Macaca fascicularis: one gene and its partner. The protein of the gene in region 1 purifies or fractionates together with the protein of each later gene. This does not show direct contact. Links are inferred from orthologs where the notes say so. Each region holds a gene or a part of one and is shown in the gene's direction. Other genes may lie near its edges.

What was found.
Region 2: the proteins of MPDZ (region 1) and PLEKHA2 purify together in Homo sapiens (affinity purification with western blotting; 3 studies listed by BioGRID and IntAct, with this or other methods). This does not show direct contact. The link is inferred for Macaca fascicularis from reciprocal best matches to the Homo sapiens genes MPDZ and PLEKHA2.

Annotation. Positions count from the first base shown.
Region 1 is NC_088389.1:85,600,742-85,610,077, forward strand, and holds the start of MPDZ (multiple PDZ domain protein), read left to right. Parts: upstream 1-3,124; 5' UTR 3,125-3,408; exon of another isoform or gene 3,409-3,481; intron 3,482-9,336. UniProt on the Homo sapiens protein: Member of the NMDAR signaling complex that may play a role in control of AMPAR potentiation and synaptic plasticity in excitatory synapses. Promotes clustering of HT2RC at the cell surface.
Region 2 is NC_088382.1:42,349,894-42,358,450, forward strand, and holds part of PLEKHA2 (pleckstrin homology domain-containing family A member 2), read left to right. Parts: intron 1-861; coding exon 862-959; intron 960-5,966; coding exon 5,967-6,107; intron 6,108-7,272; coding exon 7,273-7,419; intron 7,420-7,754; coding exon 7,755-7,823; intron 7,824-8,417; coding exon 8,418-8,488; intron 8,489-8,557. UniProt on the Homo sapiens protein: Binds specifically to phosphatidylinositol 3,4-diphosphate (PtdIns3,4P2), but not to other phosphoinositides. May recruit other proteins to the plasma membrane.

The DNA of each region.
Region 1 (9,336 bases):
GTATTAGATATCCCTTAGGTAGAGGGACTGGCAAGCATGCCATCTAGTTTGCATTTAAATGCTGCATTATTACTAAGAGTCACTGCTGGCTAAAGGTGATGGAAATAGCCCATCATCCCACTATTAGGATTACCCCAAATCACTTAGTCCTTGGGAAAAGATTTAGTTCATACAGAGTTCTAACCCTGCAGTTCTGGAGTAACATCTCCCAGCATGGGGGTCTCACCCACGCCTTGGCTATCTGCTGTTAAAAAGCAGAATGAAGACTGTGTGCTCAGCAGGCAACTAAAAGAATCCTCTGTTATTGTGATGGATCAAAACTTCAATTTCCAGGATCTGTCTTTTCAGCAGCTGTTGAAGGTTTTGAGTAGACAACCTGGGCCTTTCACTAGTTTTAGAGTTGTAGAGAAGCCACAAATGTAAAACAATATCATATACATAGTTTATATTTGTACTTGTTCAATTATGATGAACAATAAATAATAAACCAATCATTTAAACCAATCTCAGAAGTTTCCAGGACTTTTTCCCTTATAAAAGTCCTCTGAATATAACTCAAATTTGAGAAAAACAAATTATTGTGGAGAATGCCTCACTGAGGATACAGGTGGAATGACCCCAGAGGCTATATTGACATGAAATAGAAAGCATTATTAATCCATTTACTTACGGGGTAAGTTTCAACCCATCCCACAGAGTCTATCTGCTTTACACTTTGTCTTTCTCTGCAAGATTTTATTTCAACTAATTTAATGTTTTTAACTTCTATTTTAGGTATTTTTTTTAGTGCAATATCCCTGGTGGATTTCTAGAAAATCTTAGGTTTTCTGGATTAGAACAAGTTACAGAGAATAGAGCAATAGCTCTGCAGGTTAACTTCAAAAGGAGAAACTTCTGGGTGGAATTATCCCCAAACGCTGGATAATTTTATGCAAGGACTAATCTAAACAAGATTTTTTTTATCCTCTGATACACTGTTGTTTAAAGAGGGCACATGGATTTTGCTTGGCTAAAGGAGACTAGAACAATAGCACCTTTAAACCAAGGTAAAATCCTTTGTTTTAATCTCATTTATCCACAATAAATCAGAGAGTTAAATTTCTAAAACTTTCCTCTAATTCAGTTTTATGGGCTCTTTCCCTATGGTTCAATATAAAAAAACGCCATTTAAAATTTTAGGACTCACGGAATTCCTTCAGTAGCTAGTTAAGAAATTCTTTTCCTCCTACACTATCCCAGCAGCTAACATTTCATGCACATACTTCCTTTGTATTTGAGAATGACCAGATTTGAAAACTGACAAGTAGAAGTGCTATTCAAAGAGGAGGAGCCCTTTGGAATTTCTAAGCAATAAGAAAATCCTTTCCAAATGGGATGCCTTGAGATGACTCTATGACAAGAACACAAAAGTTATATGGACAAATTGTTCATTCTTGCAGTTGTATATTCATCCTATTTCATATGAGTGCCAACCAAGTGTGAAGTTTTTACTAGGCTCTGAGGATAAAATGGTGACTTAGCCCCTGTTCTCATGGGGTTTATGGTTGAAGTGGGAAGAGACATTGCATAATTACAAAATTAAATGCATATTTACAAAATAGGATAAATATTATGAAGCAAAAGCATAGGGTACAATAAGAATGCATCACAATGGGTTTATCCTAGTTTGTGGGAATCATGTATCTATGGCAGTTCCATTCACTGGGACACTGAACTGTGGAAGATGACCAGGCTTGAGCAGAAGTATCATGGTTGCATTTTTTTCTTTTTTTGCAATCTAGGTTTGAGACAAGCAAAGAGGGAAGTCGAATAAACACTTGAATATATGGATAAATCTGAAGGTATGAATGTAAGAAAGATTCCATAGCTACTAGATGATAAGCTAGAAGTGAAAACGTATTTAGAGGTAAGAGTTAAAAGGAAAAGAGGGCCCGTAACTGATTTTTAAGAAACTCCAGCATCTAAAGGTTGGGGGAGAGGTGGCAAAGAAGACTGAAGAGTGGCCTAGTGACAGGTGCAGATCTACCTGGAAACTGAAGTAGTTTAACATTCTGGGTCCTTCTCTTGCCTGGGAGCAACCCTAGCAATGTGTTTACAGGGACGTTTATTTTTCGATTTTTCAAAAGAAAGTTTTGTTTTGTTTTGTTTTTTGTTAAAGCAGACCCCCAATTGTACAAGCTTCAGAGCCCATACCTCCGCCCTTGACTAAGAGGAAGGAGCAAAACCAAGAGTGTGATTGCATGGAATTACAGGAGGGGTGGGGTGGGGAGGGCTCTAGGAAGAGAGAGGTCAACAGCTGTGACTGTGTTTGAAAGGCCAAGGAATACGGGAAAAGAGTATTTTTATTCAGAATAATAAAAGAAATTCTATTAAATGTTCTAAATTGGACTTCTGAGTATCCTTTGGTCCTATAATATTAGAGAGATGTTTTGAAAAAGAGTTTCTTATGCAGAAAAAATTTCGTGGGACTTCCAAATTCAGGATAACAGAAAGAAAATCTTAAGTGGCACAAAATAAAAAATGAATATCTGTTCTTCCTGGGGCCATGTAACTCTAATAACTTTTCCATGTTTACTGTTTTTGCTTTTAAATTGGATCATCAGACTAAGAATGCACCCTGATGTGCGAAAAGTTTCTTAGAAAGTGAGACGACTGCCCCCCACCCCCGCCCCGCTTTCTGATTAAAGCGCTTCTCATCAGCATCCTATGCCACTTAGTAAGCTACCCATGCAGAAAGCATCCTCAGGGCAGTGCACATAAGAAAAATCTGAGGAACCAGAAACAGGCTATCAGTTTCCGCAGGTTGACAAAATCGGCAAATAAAAACTCAAGACTGCCATTAAATTTGAATTTCCGATAAACAATGAAGAACTTTTTAGTATAAGTACGTCCCAAATATTGCAAGGGATATACTTGTACTAAAATTATTCCTTTTTTGAGATTCCCATTTAACAGGCCAGTCTGTATTTTATCTGACCACCTCATAAGTCCACTACCCACACCCCAGGCCTAGCGGCCCAGGAGCGAGTTTAAAATCCCGCACCGGCCCGCTAGGCCGCGTCCCCTGATTGGCCGAGGCGCGCCCGCCGCCCCGCCGGTCGCAGGCGTCACGGCAGCCCCAGCAGCCTGGGCCCCGCCGCCGCCTCCGCGGCAGCCCCGGTCGGCGCAAGTGCGGCGCGCGCTGGGGGAGGGGGCGCGGCGGAGCGCGAGGCTGGCGTCGGGCCGCCGCGGGATTAAGTTTCTCAGTCACGCGTGAGTGTGCGCTTTGATCCCGAAGCTCCTCGCCGGGCCGTTACTTCAGAAGACAGCGAGCGTGGGCGAAGCGAGGCATCCAGAGGCCCCGGCGACCCCTGCTCCCTAGCCCTCTGCCCCCTCGCGTCCCGGCCCTGGGCGGCCGCCGCGAGCCGGGTAAGCGGCGCGTGAGCCCAGGCCCGGAGGCCGAGGCGCGCCCCCGCGCCCTGCGCGCGCGCCGGCGGGGAAGGTGCGCGGGCGCCCGGGGCTCGGCGCGCGGGGGTGGGGGTGGTGGCGGGCTGTGGGGCGGTGCGCTTGCCCCACCCCGCGCGGCCAGGCGCTTCGCGGATGCCGCTGCTGTGGCTTTTTAAAAGGATGGGGTCTAGAAGTTTCCTTTGCTACTCGCAAGTCTCCACTCCTCCCACCCCCGCGATGGATAATCCTAGACCTTTCAGCCACCCCTACCCCTTTCTTTTGCTCTCGCTGACTCTAAGAGGTTTAAAAGTTCTTCCTTTTCCTTGACCCAGAGGGGCACAGTCTTGGTGTCGGGGGGCGGGGGGTGGGGTGTTAGCCTGGGGGTCCGGAGCGCAGACCAGGCCTCCGGGGCGCGGGAGCCTGTTGCTCTCCGCTGCCGGGGCCGCGCCCGAATGCCCTGTCCGCCGTTACGCGGTGCCGGGCTGCGCGGGGTGCGGTAGAGAGTGGGCAGCAATGCTCCCGGTCCTGCGTTCTCGCCTTAGCCTCGGGGACCCCAAGGCAAGCCGCTAATTGGTACCGGTTCCCCGTCCCCCACCCCTGGCGCCCATGCCCTTTTAACCGCAGCTCCCGTTGGTGGGAGCATGTTGGTCTTGTCTCTCCCTTAATGCCCTCACCCCCCGCTCTGATGGGCGCCTTTGTCTGTGATTTGGCAGCCCCAGGATGCCGGATGTTCCTAGGGAAGCGATGTTTGGGAGACGCTTTGTGCCTTGCGGAGTACCGCGTTTGTCGGGTGGTGATGGTGTACATTTTTGCTTGCATTCTTTGTAGAGGCACAAAGGCCGGGCTATTCTTCCCTGCAGTCACATGGAAATCCAAGCGGAGACTGCGGGGGAGGAGAAGTGGCCAGGCGCCGGCGGGAGGTGGAGGCCACTGCGCAGTCACTGGGGGCGAGTGGGGGGTCCCCGGGGACCTCTCCTCCGCGGTGGCGCTGTTGAGGTGCTCTGCTTGGGAAGACCCCGGCAATGGGCACTGTCTTTGTGCAGTGGGGGCTGTGGTTGGAGGCTAGTGTTTGGTAGGTATCACCAGATAGATAAGAGGACTATGACTTCACCAGCCTAGAAGGAAAACTTCTCCATGTTCTTTTGATGTCATAGAGAAGGAATCTGATAAGTGACCAGACTGCCTTGACCTGCCTTGTAGATAGTTTGATGTAAACATCCCCTTCGTGTTTCCCTAGAAATTCCTGGTTTAGGTTACCTTTTATAGAATAACACCTTATCTGAAAACTAACGAGGAGGAGGTGATGGCTTCGGGCTTGGGAGTTTTACATGTTGAATTTGGGTGTGAGTGATTACAGTGAACATCTTGTAATGTTGGAACCATCTAAATTTGTATAATGTATGCCTTAGCACTTGATGGAATTTCGGCAAACAATAGTGTTTAAAAAACCTAGCAAAACTTGGCCAGGCGCAGTGGCTCACGCCTGTAATCCCAGCACTTTGGGAGACCGAGGTGGGTGGATCACTTGAGGTCGGGAGTTCAAGACCATCCTGGCCAACATGATGAAACCCTGTCTCTACTAAAAATACAAATATTAGTGGGGCGTGATGGCACGCGTCTGTAGTCCCAGCTACTAGCGAGGCTGGGGCAGGAGAATCGCTTGCACCCAGGAGGCGGCGGTTGCATTGAGCCGAGATCATGCCACTGCACTCCAGCCTGGGCGACAGAGCGAGACGACTCTGACTCAATAAATAAATAAGTAAATAAAAAATATAAATAAAAACCTAGCAAAACTTGAAGTTCTTTGACCTGATCTTCTAATACAATACCGCGCTTTGGATGGATGCACCTGTGCCCTTGTGTGCAACGTAGGCAAAACTAGTTTTGGGTACCCTTTGACTCTCCATTCCTCTTTCCTATCTCGTTTGCCAAAACTAACAAACTTAGGAAGATTATTCTCAACGTATTACTAATAGATTATGGTGTACCTTATTTCTTACATGTTTCTTTTTTTCCCTTTGTTCCTTTCTGTGTTTATTCTTTTCACGTACCTTCTCTAGTTCTGGTTTTCTTTGTCTCTTTACCACACTTCTTTTTATTGACTGGGCCTGATGGTTGTGGCTTGGAAAGGGAGGTATCATTAGTCAGTTTTTAATGTGTTTCAAAGTCCTATCACCTAGACATTGCTCTGGTTGGCCCTTAAAGACATCTTTCCTTTTCAGATGCATTTAAATGCACCTAACTGTGAGGAATAGAAGCTGTTCTCAGAGTCTAGTTTATTTCTACAAGTTGAAGCTATTGAGAGAGATTCTTGGAAATCCTTGAAATGTAACTTTCATGGATTTAGGCCTAGTTGGCCACTTTTAGTTTTTAACTGCTAGGATGGAGAGATTTTGCTTGACAAATGATGAAGTGAATCCATTGTCTAGAATTGGGATTAAGGGATTTAAAAGCTGGAGAAGAACAATGAATTGCCCGGAACGTAGCTATCCTGAGTTAGAGGCAGATTATTTTCTCCAGATTACATCCCAGATCCGACATAGTCTTGTCTCTCAGGTTGAGTTGCAGGTTGGCTACATTTTGTATATTTGGAAACATACAAAGTACTCTGAATTTCATGAAATATTTTGAGGCAAAGTTGGACCAGAATGTCCCCAAATATGGTAGAGCGAATAGCACATCTGCCAGAGAAAGATCCTACACTTTAAAGTGAAGAAGCAGACAACTTCCTGGTGAATTTAGGACTGCTTGATGGTGCCTATAAATGATGATATATGTCCGAAACAGTTACATGTACTTTTAAAAATAGTTATTTGGCTTGAAGTAGGATTTCATTTGATATTGTTACATACATTATCAACTCCATATTTATAACAATAAAAGTTTCATTTTTTTCTTGTAAATTAGTGTCATACAAAGGGGAACATTTATATAAGTACAGTTCGGAAATGATATTTAGCATGGTAACATTGATATATTGTGATTAAATAATTTTAGTGGGATTCCATGTGGGATAATAAGACTAAGGAGATAAATAACTACTTCTCAATAAAGGAAACCAGTGGTGAGGAATCCATTGCCTTCCTGTGATATGTTTCCAGAGAAGATCCGAGGTATTCATGTAATAGGTAGTAATAGGTGGATTAGGAAGACTGTTGTATTGGGTTAGGCATTGAGGAGAACACAGAATAAATACGATTCTGCTCCAGTAGCGTAGGGTCTTAGTTGCAAGAATCTAATGGGAGAAATTATAGAAAGGTTTTACACATAAAAAATGTTACAGGGATTCTAGGAAAGTAGTTAAGTATAGGGATTACTTGCTCTTATCATTGTGGTTAGTAAATAACACACATAGGGGGCTTTGGTCTTGAGATAAGAGGGTGGAAATGAAAGATTTTTGGTATGAAGTGAGCTTAAGTCAGTGGTTTTGCCTTGAAAATTGACATGGTGTATGGAAGAGGCTTGGATGTGAGTGGGCAGGGGTACTGAAGAGCGTATTCAATTTGTATATTTCTGGAGTGCGATAGAGGGTTTGTGCCCAGGGGAAAAGTTTGGATGGGGAAGAGCAATTAATGGAGAGCAATGAAGTATAGGCTGAATTTTATCTCTTGAAGTTTCCACTTTCCAGTAACCCGTTTCACATTTCCTTCTGAGACTTTACCAGAAACACGTTTAGTGTCTATATTTCTAACAACCTCTTCAGTGCAATCTGGTCTTTTTCTACCATGCACCCTAAAACGTTTGTAGCCATTACCTGTTACCCAGTTCCAAAGCCACTTCCACATTTTTGGTGTTTGTTACAGCAGCACTCCATTTCCTGGTACCAAAATCTGTATTAGTTTGATAGGGCTGCCTTGACAAAATACCGCAGAGTGGGAGGGCGGCTGAAACCACGGGAATTTATTTCCTCACAGTTGTGGGGGCCGGAAGGCTAAAATCAAAGTGTTGGTGGGATTGGTTTCTACCGAGCCTCTCTCTTTGGCTTGTAGATGGCTGAGTTCTCCCTGTTTCTTCACATACTCTCCCTCTGTGTATGTCTATGGCCTAATTTCTTTTTATAAGGGAACCAGTCATATTGTGTTAGAGCCCACCCCTAGTGTCCTCATTTAACCTTTATGTCCAAGTACAGTTACATTCTGAGGTACAGGGAATTAGGATATCCTGTGGATTTTTAGGAGACATAATTTAGCCCATAACAAGGTTCTCAAAGAGACCTAGTCTGTAAGCTAGTGAGACCCTGAGGCAGTGAGATCATATTGGAGGCTAGTGCATAGTCTGATCATTACTGGGGTAATCTGATGTTTGGCAAGAAAGGGAAACTGCTATTTGAGGACAAAGGTATTTTATCTTTGGCCTGAGGCCACTTATTTTCTTTCTCTGGGTGTTCATTGGGAAATTGTGCCTCTATGACCTTCCTTTTTGTGGACAGAGCATTAATTTTCTTTTGAAGTGTTTTATAAAAGCATTTGTTTTCTTAAAATATTTCTTTTAATGGTTCTTAAAAATAGTAAAGCGCTAAATTTGGCAAAGCTGAAACATTGTGTTGTAAATATCTCAGTGGTTTTTGAGTCTGATTAAAACAACAGAATTTATTCTTTAAATTCCATTGATCTAAAAACTTTCTTATACATGTTTTGTGGGGTAATATATGGCATAATCTTTTTTTCCTTCAGAAATGTTTCCCCATTTTGGGAAAATATGATTAATAAAAGGGATTTTATGTTACATAAAATAAAAACTTTTTATTTTTATTTTATGTTTTTTAGGTGTTGCAGTTGTATTTGTTGAGTTAACGAAACCATTAGAACCATTCTTCCAGATCTGGCCAACTAAGTTTAAAAAAAAAAAAAAAAAAGATAAAAAGAGACAAATTCTTGCTTTTTTTTTCTTTTCTGGCCTGTCTGCCTGCAGTGGTTAAATTTGTTTTGTTTAGGGAATTCTTATCTTTATCCACCTTTTAGTTTTATTTGTGTCTGCAAAAGCAACATTCATTGTTATTTTCTTGTAAACCACTTGCAGATCCGAGGTGTTATAAATAAGTGTATGAGGAGAAAGTGAAAAATGAAACACTTATTAAAAAAAAAAGAAAAACACAAAACTTAAGGAAAAACTTACTGTTGTTGCTTATTTTTAAAAATACACAAGGTAATTATTTATTTTAGTAAATAGCACATTTAAAAAGGTATGGAAGGTACAAGTGAAAAGAAGACAGAAAACTTGCCTGTAATTGGATCACCCATATACCACTCCCACAAGAAAATCCCCAAAACACATATTTTGAAAAGGAAGATACTTACATTATTTTGTTATAACAAATGAATAGATAGAGCTGTTGATCAATAGATTTCACCAATTGCTGTCTTTCTCAGTAAGCATAATCTGATCTGAGATTATTAAACGTTCATATAATTTGAGTTGATACTAATAGCGTTTGTTTGAACTGATGTCTCAGGTCTTTTGAAGAGGTATGATACAGTTCACTACCACATGGCATATAGGACACCAGTGGAGAATGTATTTTTAAAAATTTTGATCTCTGCTTAAAATTAAGCGTTAATAGTCATATTGTTAATTTCACAATAACTTTATATTATGTACTCAGGTGGCCCCATAGGATACTTTGCTTCAGGGAACTGTCATAGAAAATGGTCATGAGAAGCTATCCTTCTGTGTTCATGAGATACCACTAACCTAACAAAACCATGATGATAGAGTCATAAAGATTAATGATTATTCTACAAGTTAAAAACTCCTCTCTGATATATTTAAGATATGTCCAGTTTCTCTTATACCTTGCTAGGCCCCTGTTTTAGTTCATTTGGGGTGCTCTAACAAGATATCAAGCAGTGAGTCCATTATAAACAAAAATTTATTTCTCATAGTTCTGGAGGCTGGGAAGTCCCAGATCAA
Region 2 (8,557 bases), on another chromosome or scaffold:
TCTACTAAAAATACAAAAAATTAGCCAGGCGCGGTGGCGGGCGCCTGTAGTCCCAGCTACTCAGGAGGCTGAGGCAGGAGAATGGCGGGAACCCGGGAGGCGGAGCTTGCAGTGAGCCGAGATCGCGCCACTGCACTCCAGCCTGGGCAACAGCGTGAGACTCCGTCTCAAAAAAAAAAAACAAAAAAACCCAACCAAACAAAAAAACTTCTTTGGTACACTCATTCTTCTATTTCTTGCAAATTTTATAGCTAAGCTCAGAAATGACTGTCACGTTTTGTGGTTATCAGATCTAAAAAAAATATATGTAATAATAATGAACCTGGAAGTAAATTGTTGACCTAATGGAATGCTCAGAGGAAAGAACAGGTTGAGAGTGAGGCCAAGGTCACAGATTTGATCTCAGGAAAGCTTTGTTCTATTTCCCAACCACAGACAAGACTCCCAGTCCAGACCAGTTGTGCCAGTGGAGACCAAGCATGGGTCCAAAATTCTGTATATACCATGATGACAGTAAACGTATTAGCACCGCCAGAATGCGGTTCACAGTTGTGTCTTGTTGACGGCAGACCAGCAGCCTCATCACTGCAGAACAGCGCACTGAGGCTGCTGTTAACATGGTCAGGTGTTGTTCCTGTGGCCAATGGGATGTTTTTAAAGGTGGGAAAGAGAGTGAGCAGGTGTGGCCTGGGGCTTCCTAAATTCCCAAGGAAATGACTTAGCATCATGGGAGATTTCTTGTTCTGCTTTGTGGAGTTCACTCATCTTTCTCCCTCAAACACCTTAGCTTTGTGGAGACTTGTTGTGTTGCTTGTATTCTGACCCGGGAACATCTTCCCTTCTTTTCTGTGGCTTTTGTAGTTATCAATGCCCTGTCTCAGAGATATTTCCTTCAAGCCAATGACCAGAAAGATATGAAGGACTGGGTTGAAGCCCTGAACCAAGCTAGCAAGATCACCGTAAGTTTGGTTTCTTCTGTTTTCTGGGGGTAGTAAAAGTGCCTCTTCCCAGGCTGTGGCCTTGTTGGGGTTGGGGAAAACCGAGATGGCAGTGGGGACTTTCCCAGGAGCCTGGTCTGTACCCAGTTCTGTCCCACCTCTTCTCGTTCCTTGGCTTACCAAGCACAAGTTGAACTGAGAGTTTGAGTTTGAATCAAGTTCAAGGGGAAGTTCATGGAGCATCCCCTTTGGGCTTCCTGGGAGGGCTCCCGGTCAGTCATGTTTTGGGTGATTCTGGGATGCTGCTTCAGAATGTGGTAGGATTGGAAAATGGATTGCTGACTGTGAAAAGTCAAGTAACGGGAAAAGCATATGGGGAGAGAAGGCAGAACTTTTTCCCAGCTTGGGGGGATACCCTTCTTACTTTCAGAGGCTGCCTGCAGGGTTAGTCCAAGCCATCCGCCTCCCTGTCCTGGAAAAGCCATCTGTTTAAAAGCATCACAGAGCTAGTTCATGGACTGTCCTACAAGTGTGCTCTTTTTCCTTGAGTTGGCTCATGAAGAATTCCTTTCCTTTTCCTTGGAAATACAGAAAAAGAAAGGAAGAGGGTAGGAAGGATGGAGAGGGAAAACTATATGTTTTGGAAAAAACTAGACTTTTAATCAATAAGACAGGCAGACTCCTGGCTTATATAGATCATGGCTTGTATGCTGAAAAGTTTGTTTCTGTATCATACAGTCAGAAATGCTTATGTTTGAGGGGCTTCCAATAGTGACTATTACGTGCTGCAGCAAATTATCCTCCCAGATTTCTCAGGGTTCCTGTGAACAACTGTATAGAAGAAATGTGTACACATATCTAGTATTCGTGTTGCTAGACCTAACCTGAGTATAATTGAGTCCTATAAGCAGTTTTGCTGATTAGCTTCTTATTCTGATAAACCTTGGTAAACCCGTGAAGAGAGAGAGTGATGAAAAGAGAGAGGATGAATGGCTGGGTGCAGTGGCTCAGCCTTGTAATCCCAGCACTTTGGGAGGCTGAGGTGGGTGGATCACCTGAGGCCAGGAGTTTGAGACCAGCCTGGCCAACATGGTGAAACCCCATCTCTACTAAAAATACAAAATTAGCCAGGCGTGGTGGCACATGCCTGTAGCCCCAGCTACTCGGGAGGCTGAGGCAGGAGAATCTCTTGAACCTGGGAGGCGGAGGTTGCAATGACCCGAGATCGTGCCATTGCATTCCAACCTTGGCAACAAGAGTGAAACTCTACCTCAAAAATAAATAAATAAATAAATAAATAAATAAATAAATAAATAAATAAAATAATAAAAAATTAGTGAGGCCTGGTGGCTGACACCTGTATTCCCAGCTACTCAGGAGGCTGAGGCAGGAGGATCACTTGAGCCCAGAAGTTTGAGGCTGCAGGGACTTATGATTTTACCACTGTACTTTGGCCTAGGCAACAGAGTGAAACCCCATCTCTTAAAGAAGTCTCAGGTAGTGTAAGCAGCTTTGGAAAGGCTCTGCATGTTGATCTGAAGCAGTGCATGACACCGGAGCATAAGCGGTGACAAACAGTGTTCTTTGGGATTTTGAGAGGAAACACAGCAGCCAAGCTTCTGTTCTTCCTTTTCTGGCCACTGGGAACTCTAAAAAGTTACTTTCCGGCTGGGCGCGGTGGCTCATGCTTGTAATCCCAGCACTTTGGGAGGCCAGAGTGGGCAGATCATGAGGTCAGGAGTTCATGACCAGCCTGGCTAACATGGTGAAGCCCCATCTCTACTAAAAATATAAAAATTAGCCGGGCATGGTGGCGGGGACCTGTAATCCCAGCTATTTGGGAGGCTGAGGTAGGAGAATCACTTGAACCCAGGAAGTGGAGGTTGTAGTGAGCTGAGATCGCGCCATTGTACTCCAGCCTGGGCGACAGAGTGAGACTCTGTCTCAAAAAAAAAAAAAAAAAAAGTTAATTCCCTCCTTCTTTGCTGGGTTTCAGGAATTCATCTGGGTCATTTAGGGGAAATTTCTGCCTGTTCCATGGTGATTTTAATCACTAAATATCAACTAAAAATCAACATCCCTAAAAATGTGGTTACATAATAACAGAACTCACAGAAAATGAGAAAGAGTAGCTTAGGTAGGTCGTGACGTATAGCAACAAGGAGTCAGGCAGTCCTAGAGCCAAATCACTTGATTTTAATGAGCTTGAGTTGACCTCATCTATAAAGAGAAAATCATGCCTGGTTGATAAGATTAGTGATAGTGCAGCAAAGAGCTTATCAGTGCATTGCCTGGCACTGAATGGAGGCCCAAAAAAACTGTAACTGTTGGTATCTCTCAGCCAGAAGGAAAATAGAAGGCGGAATTTCTGGCCTGATTTGGAGAGGTAGGGAGGGGGCAGAGGACACCCTTGTCTATGTAAACTGAGTGGGCAGTCCAGGAAGAGAAGGTCTCGTCATCTTTGTGGGGGCCCAGCATAATCAGGGTGCTCTTATTGTTTTGAACAGACACTAAATGACAGGGCTCTCATATAACTCTGAGCTCTTGAAAGGGTCTGGATCCTTAGGTCTTTCTGACTCTGAAAGCTGTAGAAGTGGGAGAGAACCTTAGCTTTTCTCTCAAAGTCCTGGTGACGTCCCGGCAGATAGATGTAGGGTGTTGCATTCTCCTAAAGGTGGGGCATTGTGATGCTGGGGCACTGGTGGGAAGTCAGGATTTAGTAGACATTCAGCCGTATTTTTGTTTTTGTTTTGAAACAGAATCTCGCTCTGTAGCCCAGTCTGGAGTGCAATGGTGTGATCTCAGCTCACTGCAACCTCTGCCTTCTGGGTTCAATCAATTCTCCTGCCTCAGCCTCCTGAGTAGCTGGGGTTACAGGCGCCCACCACTATGCCCAGCTCATTTTTGTATTTTTAGTAGAGACAGTTTCACCATGTTGGTCAGGCTAGTCTTGAACTCCGCACCTCAGGTGATCCACCCCCCTCGGCCTCCCAAAGTGCTGGGATTATAGGCATGAGCCACCGTGCCTGGCCAACATTCAGCTGTTAATCCTGGCTTTAGGTAAATGACTCAACTGTTCTGGGCCTCTTTTTTTTTTTCTTTCTAACAAAATGAAAGATTTCCTCAGCATTTGCAGACTCTAGTGTAAATGAGTGAAGTAGGCAAGGAGGAAGAAACATGAGAACAAGAATGAGGATAAGTGACATCTGACCCCTGGCCTCTCCCATTCTGCTGGGGAGAATGGTAGAGACTGTGCAAACACAGAATGCATTTTCTATCTAAAAGGGAACTGCTGCAGAGCTGAAAATCTGGATTTGTCTGTGAAATATCCCAAAACTTAGATGCAGATTTTAAAAAAACACTGCATGTGACTAACAAAACATTATTTGGGCAAAGTTGGTGGGTGGGCCACCAATTTGCAACCTCTGGCCTGTGATTTCCAGCTAACCATAAAAATTCTATGATGGGCCGGACGCGGTGGCTCACACCTGTAATCCCAGCACTTTGGGAGGCTGAGGCCGGCGGATCACGAGGTCAGGAGATCCTGGAGACCATCCTAGCTAATACGGTGAAACCCCGTCTCTACTAAAAAATAGAAAAAATTCGCCGGGCGTGGTGGCAGGCGCCTGTAGTCCCAGCTACTTGGGAGGCTGAGGCAGGAGAATGGTGTGAACTCGGGCGGCGGAGCTTGCAGTGAGCCGAGATCGTGCCACTGCACTCCAGCCTGGGCGACACAGCGGGACTCTGTCTCAACGACAACAACAACAACAACAAAATTGTATGATGATTTGATCAGCTGTGGTACCATATCTCTGTCAAGGAAGAACAAAGATAACTCATTCTTCCAAAAGGGCTCTGTGTATAATTATTAGTACCACCTGGAAGCCTTAATTAAAATATTTTGTAATATGTTTTCCTCTTAGTTGTGTTTCTAAAGCATTTAATATATTCTATCATTTGATAACCACAACAATGGTTATGATAAATATTATTCCTCTTTTCATTTTATACATGAGACGGTTTAGGCCTAGAGAGGTCTGATGGTTGCCAAAGGTCGCTCAGGTGGTTTGTGAGAGATGAAGGGTTATACCACAAGCCTTCTGGCTCCAGACTTCATGGACCCCTTGTTCTGTCTCTACAAAGGCATGCACTTTTACCTGTTCCATCTGCCCAGAATGACTTCTCCCAGCTTCATGTTCCTGATTCCTTTTCTTAGTTTATTATTTTTTATTTTTTTCGAGACAGGGTCTCTCTTACCCAGCCTGGAGTACAGTAGTGTGATTATAGCTCACTTCAGCCTCCAACTCCTGGGCTCAAGAGATTCTCCTACCTTGGCCTGTTGAGCAGCTATGTGCTACCACACCTGGCTATTTTTTTTTTTTTTTTTTCCATTTTTAGTAGAGACAGGATCTCACTGTGTTCCCCAGGCTGGTCTTGAACTCCTGGGCTCAAGTGACCCTCCTGCCTTGGCCTCCCAAAGTGCTGGGATTACAGGTGTGAGTTCCCAGATCTGGCCCCCAGCTCCTGTTCACCCTCCAGGTTGCCGTTTGAGTGTCTCCCTGCCTCCTCCTCTGGAGACCTCCCTGCCCACTCCGTTTCCAGCAGGTCCCCTGCTGTGCGCTGCCTCAGCTCCCTTGATCTTCTTTGTGCCACTCACCACCACTTGTAATTACTCTGTTTTATGTATTTTTTTTGTCATTCCCCCTACTAGCATGTAAGTGCCATGAGGGTGGGGACCCACGTGTGTTTTGCTGACACTTTATCTTTGGTTTCTAGCCAGGGAAGGGCTGGCTTATAAGTAGGTGCTCAATAAATTCCTGGAGTCAGTTTGTATCTGTGTTGGGGGAGGGCGTTGCTGGCGGAGACGCTCATATTCAGATTTGGACTGCGGAAGGCCTGGGGAGGACCTGCAAGTCTGACTGTAATTTGGCACATTAGCTTTTCTCACGGCACCCCCATTCTGCTTTGGGCTCCCCATGTTTCCTAAACGTTCTGTTCCCCATTGACTGTTGCTGCCGCTCTCCCCAGGTACCCAAAGGTGGGGGCCTACCCATGACCACTGAAGTTCTCAAGAGCTTAGCAGCTCCTCCAGCCCTGGAGAAGAAGCCACAGGTGGCCTACAAGACAGAGATCATCGGAGGGGTGGTGGTCCACACACCCATCAGCCAGGTGAGGGGCCTGACTGGGGCTGCGGGGGGAGTGGGGGTGTAGAAGTGTCCATGGTGTGCCTGTGATGTGCTTGGAGCACTGTACTGGGGAAAAGGAGGGTGGGAGTTGGAGGGGAGCTGGTGCCAGTGGAGCCATCAGGGAAGTACAGGGCATGTTACAGCCCCATTCATGGGTGTTAGTGACAGCATTGCAGAAGTGCAGGCCACTGCATCTTGAAGCCGAATGGCCTGTGCAGCTCTCTGCTGGACACAGGAGACACGGAAGATGAGGGTTTGTGAAACCCGTAGGAAATGGGATAGAAGAAGGCAAACAAGGCTGGAAACCAGCCCGGTGTCCCTCCTGGTTCACATTCTCTGTCGTTCCCTTTCTCCTGGGTCGGCCCAACCTCCCTGATGCTGGTTCTGTGAAAGTACCCGGTAAAGTGCATGACAGAGCAAAGGAAAGGTTTATTTTCCTGTTTTAATTATTTATATTTATGTAAGTTTTTTTTTTTTTCTGAGATGGGGTGTCACTCTGTCACCCAGGCTGAAGTGCAGATACACATAATCACGACTCACTGCAGCCTGCGCCTCCTAGGCTCGTGCAATCCTCCTACCTCAGCCTTCCCAGGCTCAAGTGATCCTGCCGCCTCATCTGGGGCTACAGGCATGAGCCCCCGTGCCTGGCTAATGTTTTTTTTTTTTTTGGTGGAGATGGGGTTTTGCCATGTTGTTATTTAATTTTTTAGACAGGGTCTCACTCTGTTGCCCAGACTGAAGTGCAGTGGTGCAATCATGGCTCACTGCAGCATCAGACTCCTGGGCTCAAGCCATCCCCCCATCTCTGCTTCCTGAGTAGCTGGGACTACACACCTGGGTAATTCTTTTTTTTAATTTTTAAATTTTAAAATGAAAATTAAACAAAAATTTTAAAACAGTTTTTAATTTTTTTGCAGAGACTGGGTCTCACTGTGTTGCCCAGGCTGGTCTAGAACTCCTGGGCTCAAGCGATCCTCCTGCCTTGGCCTCCCAAAGTGTTGGGATCACAGGCATGAGCCACTGTGCCCACCATTTATTTCTTCTTTGACTTAGGGCAAAGAGGCCAGAGATTCAGGCAGGGGGAGGCGGATGGGGCTATGGCTGCATAGAGGCAGGGAGGCGCTGATCCTGACACTGTTTCCTTGCAGAACGGTGGGGATGGGCAGGAAGGGAGTGAGCCTGGGTCCCACGCCATCCTTCGAAGGTCTCAGAGTTACATCCCCACGTCAGGCTGCCGTGCTTCCACCGGGCCTCCCCTCATTAAGAGTGGTTACTGCGTGAAGCAAGGGAATGTGGTGAGTGTCAGCACAGGGGCTAAACTGGGGTTCTGGTGACTCCTCAGAACCAGTAGCTGTAGACATAGCAGAGGTGAGAGGAGATTGACAGGAGGTGCCTCAGTCCTCCATGGAGCCTCCACCTTTGAGGGTTGACCATTGGCTGACCATTGGGGTCTGACCATTGGCTCCCGCCTGTCAGAGGTGTCAAGCCTGATATGAAGAAGCCCTTTCCCCTGCTGAATGTGGGGGCCGGATTTCTAGGGGGCTGGGTCTCTGGGAGCTTAGCATGAGAACACCCTCCACAATGCTGGGCACCTCTTGCTAATGTTCTGCCTTTTATTTTGTTATTACAGCGGAAGAGCTGGAAACGTCGCTTCTTTGCACTTGATGACTTTACCATCTGCTACTTCAAGTGTGAGCAGGTTTGTAGTAGCTTTGCTGCCCTTCTGAGAGGTCATGGAAACTAAGAGGTGCACAGATGCACACCCACAGGAGAGTGTGCATGAGTGGAGATGTGGGCACACAAAGACTTCAAAGGCACCTCTGTCTTATCTCCATCCATTCTGTGCACACATCTTTACAGTGACAGTAAAGTGTCCTCTCAGCAGTGAGTTGCTGTGTGGTCAGAATCACAGCTACACAGCATCTTCTTAGGTTTGTTTTGTCTTTTTTCTTGTTTTTGGAGACATGGTCTTTCTCTGTCACCTGTCACCCAGGCTGGAGCACAGTGGTGGATTTTTTGTAGAGACAGGGTTTCACGATGTTGCCCAGGCTGGTCTTGAACTCCTGGCCTCAATCCGTCCTCCAGCCTTGGCCTTCCAAAGTCCTGGTAGTACACGCAGCAGCCACTCTGCCCAGCCAGATTTTTTTTTCTCTTGCTGATTATTTTGAGACCGGGTTATTTGTCAACCTGATTTTAGCCAACCATCTCTGAGAAAGGGGTATTTGTCAGCTGGTCTTGGTCATGATATGTCACAGGCAGCCTCACTTACCTGTCTTTCTGTTCTTTCCACCAGGACCGAGAACCACTGCGCACTATATTTCTTAAGGATGTTCTCAAGACCCATGAATGTCTAGTCAAGTCTGGGTAATTGTGTCTGTTTTTTCTCTTCTGATCCAAACCTCCATTTGTCCTCTTAAATCTCCCTTTACCACC